2 linked regions of the Drosophila melanogaster genome follow. The protein of the gene in region 1 interacts with the protein of each later gene in a pairwise test. Each region holds a gene or a part of one and is shown on either strand. Other genes may lie near its edges.

Region 1 (3,399 bases):
TTGGCGCCTGCGCCGTTGGCGGGCCAAGCGACGACGACGGGCGGCGGCCCTGCGACGACGGGCGGCCGCGCTGGAGGACGACGACGAGGACGAGGACGAAGAAGTGGTGGTAGTCGTGGCAGACGAGGCCACTGTGGTGGTGTCGGAAGACGTTGAGGCTTCAGTTGTGTCGGAGGAAGAGGACGCGGTAGTGGAGGTGTCCGAGGCGCTGGTACTATCCGAGGAGCTTTCAGTGCTCGTTCCCGTAGCTTCGCAGCCCTGCTGGGCAAACAGGAGGCAGCCGAGAAGGGCCAAGAGCAGAACAAATATGAATCGCATTCTAAGCAGTTATATCTTATGATTTGGAGAATAGCCTATTTATATGATGTTGAACCCGGAAACTTGGTTGAGAAACGCGCTCATTACCGTAAATCTATTACATTATTATGTGTGTTAAGACTCAAGAGCAACGTTTAAACTATATGGCGGCACACATAATTTCTCAATCTGAATAAACATTACCAAAATTTACCTTAGTTAAAGCTAACAATCCAGCAGACCTATTAGCTTACACGCTTTTGGTAAACCACCATTATTCAAATTTGCTATAAAAACATGCGTAACGTCTCAAATGCGTCAAAGACATTCAGCATGCGCTTCTCGATCGTAATTGTTCTTTCCGTCCTAGGATGCCTCCTGCTTAGCCAGGAGGGCAGTAGCAGCACATCTACATCCTCGACGACGACCACAACCACCGACTCCTCTGCCACCACTACCACGGCTTCGTCCGCCACCACTACCACCACTGCCTCTTCCGCATCCACCACGACCACTGCCTCCTCCTCATCCTCTTCCTCTGCGGAGGCCAGGAGGCGCAGGCGCGCCCGTCGCCGTCGTCTGGCGCGTGAGAGGCAACGAAGGGAGCGCAGAAGGCAGCGCAGGACTCAGAGGCTGCGCCAGCAACTGGAGAATCAACGTCGACAGATCAACCAGCTGAGCGGATGAAGGTCTTCGGAAAGACTCGGCTTATGACAATTTAGGAAAAGCTGTTGTAAATATGTGAAAGCTAAATTCTTTCATTGTTCAAGTTCGCCAAGATAATAAAACATTTGATTGTACATTCTGATAATTCTACTTTATTGGAGCACAAAAACGTGTGGGAGTGGCATATTTAAGCGGCTTGAGGGAGTTCAACGTTCTCAACTCTCTAGCTTTTAGAGTTGCTGAGGTCGAGACATTCGTTCGGACAGACGGAGTAATAGTGATCAAGCATATACATATGTATAATTAATAGGGTCGGAAACGCCTGTTACATACTTTTCAACAAATCTAGTTTAGTCTCATTCCAGGAGTAGCCTGTTTCAAATCGAGACGAATTTTGAAATCGGTAACTGGTATAAAATTAATATAATTATACACATCTTTGTTGTGTTTGGTTTAAAAATAATGTAAACCACGTATTTGTTTTTTTGGAAAATAAATCTCTAATTTCGGAGAACTTAAATGGATATAAGCCAAAATGCAACAGCACAAAACTGTTAATTGGGTACGCAAAGCTCAAATGAAGAACAAATAAAACACCTTTAACTCGTCAAGTGCTGCGATTTTTACTCAGATAAGATGTGAATGTACATAAATAGGTTATACCAAATATTTCCTTCAGACGTGACGTGGTCGCCATACATAATTAGGCGTAAGAAGCGTTATAATATTACCTTTTTATCTCGTTTTCAACGAGTTAAACCCGGCTCACTATCAATAATATATCGATCGACTCTTTTACTCTGTTGACCTTACAAGCCCAAGACATTGACGAGCTGGATAGGCTGTGCACACATTTCCGATTTCCGATACATGATATTTGTTTAATTGTTACCCCGTATTGAGTATAAAAGGCCGTCTGATTAGATTAGATTAGACACAACAAAATGCGCTTCCTATTCGCTCTACTTCTCAGCGTGCTCCTGTGTCTGCTCCTGGCTCAGGAGGGCAGTAGCAGCACATCTACATCCTCGACGGCGACCACATCCACCGACTCCTCTGCCACCACTACCACGGCTTCATCCGCCACCACCACTACCACCACTGCCTCCTCCGCATCCACCACGACCACTGCCTCCTCTTCCTCCTCCTCGGCGGAGGCCAGGAGGCGCAGACGTGCTCGCCGTCGTCGCCTGGCTCGTGAGCGCCGTCGTCGCCAGGAGCGGAGACAGCGCCAGGAAAAGAGGAGGCGCAGGATGGAGCAGCTGCTGGTGAGGCAGCGTCGCCTGATCAATCAGCTTCAGGGATAAGTGGGGGCTTGGTCCCTTAAGATAGAATCTTCGGCCGTTCAATAGAAATATAAGCGCTGCACCAACTAATCAGATTATTAGATTGATCTCTTTCTTTGGAGGTATTTTTGAGAAGGCATGCCTGCAGCGTTGAGCAAGGTTTCGTTGTGGGCATTAGAGCATTTAAGACGTTTCCACAGGCATTCCCACGCACATCTACATATTCTATCCGACAAGCGGCGAATCCGCGCAATTCCAAGGCGGCAGACAATTGGCCCTATCCCTGGAGTTTATTATACCAGAGCTTGAGCGCTCGAAAATGCTTTTCTTGCAGCCAAGCTCAGCAGTCAGCCCGCCTGGAATCAAATCAAATAAAATATTCATTTTGGTCTTTGAACTGTGCATAAATGTGCTGCTGTTCACGAAGTGATGGAGCCACCCAAGCCCTGGATACTTAAATCTATTGGATGTGAATAAAAATTACGCTGAATGTGTGCATATATAAAGAGTGCGGTTTGGTGACGGCACGTCATCATATTCTTAGACGTTTCAAAAAGCCAAGGATAACATAGAGACTGACAGGGGGAATCGATGTTTTTTGGTCTTTTTTTTTTTTGCATAACTGCTTGAAAGCAGTTCAAGATTGGGGTTATATTCTGTTAACAATATTCGAATCCACATTTGCTTCTTTGTGCCCATTAATTGCTCAGATCAGACGCATAGAGAATGCCGCCATCTCTGAAGGCTGAAGAAATTTTTTATCGGATTTTCTCGCTACAAAATTGCATTTCAGGGAACTTCGTCCGCAGACTGGGCAGCAATTGAGGGAAACGAAAATAAGCAAAATGCCGCCAGCCAAAAGGTAAAGTACGTTAGGCTGGGCCAACCCTTATTGTTGTCATTTTCCAGATTGCCATTCTGCCATCAATGCCGATTCTAAGCACAAAACGGAGAAAAATGTGTTCTTTCCATCAGATTATTTCCTTCAGATCCGAACCCCTTTTTTAAATTGCTGTGGCATGCGAAATCTTAAAGGAGTCGTAGATTAATGCCCATTTAAACAAATCCTTCAGACATTTTGAGTAACTAAACCTGAACAAGAAAAGGAACTTGTTTTTGCACTAATTGTGGTTTCAGGTGAGTAAATCAA
Region 2 (2,946 bases), on another chromosome or scaffold:
AATATAATATTCAAAAAAAAAAAAGTGATTTTATTCATATTCAACGACATTTGAGTCAAGTTTGCTGTTTAGCAACCACCTTTTTGTGGCTGAGTCTTCCGCGGTTTCTTGGTGGTGTTCTTCTTGCCTGAATCACACGCCTTTGGCTTTGGCTTAGATGTGGCTTTCGATGCGGCTTTCGGTTTCGGGTCGGATTTACACTTGGGTGCAGGCTTGCACGAAGCTTGAGACTTCGATTTGGAATCGGGGCACTTCGGTGTTAGCAGGTCCTTCAAAATACATCCGCTTCCTCCACCGCCCGATTCGTTTTTCGATCCACAGCCACATCCCGATTCTGGTGTCGTTCCTGGACGGTTATGATGATGTACTATCTTTTTGGTGGATTTCGATCGCTTGGTTCTTTTTGTGCGGTGTCGCTTGATGCGTTTCGTGCAGTGCTTTTCACTGGGTGGCTCAGTTTTGCATGTGGGTGGCTCAGTTCTGCATGTGGGTGGCTCAGCTTTGCATGTGGGTGGCTCAGTTCTGCATGTGGGTGGCTCAGTTTTGCATGTGGGTGGCTCAGTTCTGCATGTGGGTGGCTCAGTTCTGCATGTGGGTGGCTCAGTTTTGCATGTGGGTGGCTCAGTTCTGCATGTGGGTGGCTCAGTTTTGCATGTGGCTGGCTCAGTTCTGCATGTGGGTGGCTCAGTTTTGCATGTGGGTGGCTCAGTTCTGCATGTGGGTGGCTCAGTTTTGCATGTGGGTGGCTCAGTTTTGCATGTGGGTGGCGTGGTTTCGCATCTTGGTGGTTCGGTTTCGCATCTTGGCGGTTCGGTTTCGCATCTCGGTGGTTCGGTTTCGCATCTCGGTGGTTCAGTTTTACAGCATGTAGAACCTGACGGGGCAAGTGCAGCCAGCCCCACCAATAACACAACCAACAACTCCAAGCGCATCTTGACTTTGGAATTCAATACCGCGTGATGCGCTTTATATACCCACTGCATTTTGCCATCGACACATCGAACAATTTAAGATACACTCAACAAAAAAATAACAATTTCTACGGTTTAAAATGAAGAAACTAAAAGTAAGCGATATACAAATATAATTCAGCTAAGGGTATGCTGAATCATGATAAACTTGTTGAAATTGTTTGCGCATTGTAATTAAAGCCCATTTGTTTAATGATTTTAATATTAAATTCAATATATATGGAATCAAAAATTATTATTAATATGTTCGTGAAGTGTAGGACAGTGCGGGTGCCTCGAACTTGTCTTTCACAAATATTTACAGAATAGAAAGGTATGTTTTCCATTTTTGGACCGGCGGGTTGGCTTAAACCAACTTATCTCGAGCACCAGCTTTAGTTTACTTAACCGCAGCTGTTGCAGTCTTCCATATTGATCGTGGTTTTGTTTATTATTTTGTTTATTATTTATTTATTTTTTTTTGACTGAATCGAGTTGTGGAAAAATTGCGTGTACTAGTTGTGTGAGCAAATCAAATAGTTTTGCTCAAATCGTTTACTAAGGTAAACAAATTTTATTACTTGTGGCGATGGTTAGACATAGACAAGACTCAACTAGGATCATTCCAGTTACCCTGTCATTTGCCAATTAGATACACATTTTTCCAACCAATTGCCGTCATCGCGGAGACCAATCACCAGCTCTATTGTTTTCAACCATTTTTTTTTTGTTCTGAGAGATTTGATATTTGACTTAATTTTGGCCTTCGCTTGGGTAAATAAAACGTGGTCTGGAGCTTTTACTATAAATTGCGACATAGCATTATCGGATCCCTCAGAGTCAAATAGAATATAGTGTCGAAATGAAGTTGACAAAGTTATGGTTGCTTTTTGTGTGCCTGGGGCTTTTCGTTACCCTGGTTGTGAGTGCCGATACGGACTCGGATGCCGATTCGGATTCATCCGCCGATTCGGATTCATCCGCCGATTCCGATGAGAATACAACCGCATCCGGATCGATAGTAACCTCAACCACGGAGTCCAGTGCCACGAACAGTTCCGGTTCCTCAGATGATGCTTCTGGCAGTAGTTCCGATGTGGACGATGGTTCCGATGATGATACTGATTCTGGATCCGATACGGATTATGATACACCTACTACAGCTCCAGTTGTTAAAAAGAGGGCCAATAGGAAGAAGGCTAACAATAACAAGAAGAGAGCTAGCAACAATAGGAAGAAGGCCAACAATAACAACAACAACAAGAAGAGGGCCAACAGCAACAACAATCGCAAAAGGAGGGCGTCCAACAACAACAATAAAAAGAAGGCATCCAACAACAACAACAGGCGCAGGAACAACAATTCCAGGAGGCGTGGTTAGAGCGAAAATGGTTGAAACAACAACTACATGTGGACTATATGCATAATAAATATTTTTTTTGTTCATGATTCAATAATTGATTGGTGCATTGGTCTGATTCGAAAACACACACACGAAAAACACTGTATTTTTTTTTTGGTGATCGAAAAAATTCCGAGGAAACCCCATTCGGTTGAAATTAACAAATGCAATCTGCATGACCAATTCGTGTGGGTAAACACGAAAAATTTGAGACAAAAAATGCTGATGACTATTTAAAGACTATGCTCTCACATATTAAAGAGATACATACATTTGAAGTGTAACAATACAGGCATTATTTCCAATGGACAAGCACTTTTCAACAAAAGCAGACATAACAAAACCAAAACAAATATGTGTTACACTCTAAACGAGAACAATAGGTGCCCATCGACGAGCTTCAATTTGAAATCACAAAATATTATGGACACAATGCACATTGAATGTGCTGCAAACTAGGCAACAATATTTTTACAACAATGTGCTGTGTGTAGTGGTGTGGTGTGGTGTGCGTTGGTGTGCGTTGGTGTGGAGGAAAATGCCTGTCAAAATCTCAACAGGTGTCGATGACTTATCGATGGCTGGCTTTCAAGC

What was found.
Region 2: the proteins of CG14454 (region 1) and Pig1 interact in a two-hybrid assay, tested with the Drosophila melanogaster proteins (one large-scale study listed by BioGRID).

The regions. Positions count from the first base shown.
Region 1 is NT_037436.4:22,691,021-22,694,419, reverse strand, and holds CG14454 (uncharacterized protein), read left to right. Parts: upstream 1-1,891; 5' UTR 1,892-1,907; coding exon 1,908-2,270; 3' UTR 2,271-2,746; downstream 2,747-3,399. Other genes in the region: CG14453 (uncharacterized protein), read right to left, coding at 1-318; CG12546 (uncharacterized protein), read left to right, coding at 631-984.
Region 2 is NC_004354.4:3,248,100-3,251,045, reverse strand, and holds Pig1 (Pre-intermoult gene 1), read left to right. Parts: upstream 1-1,756; 5' UTR 1,757-1,812; coding exon 1,813-2,331; 3' UTR 2,332-2,446; downstream 2,447-2,946. Other genes in the region: Sgs4 (salivary gland secretion 4), read right to left, coding at 69-932.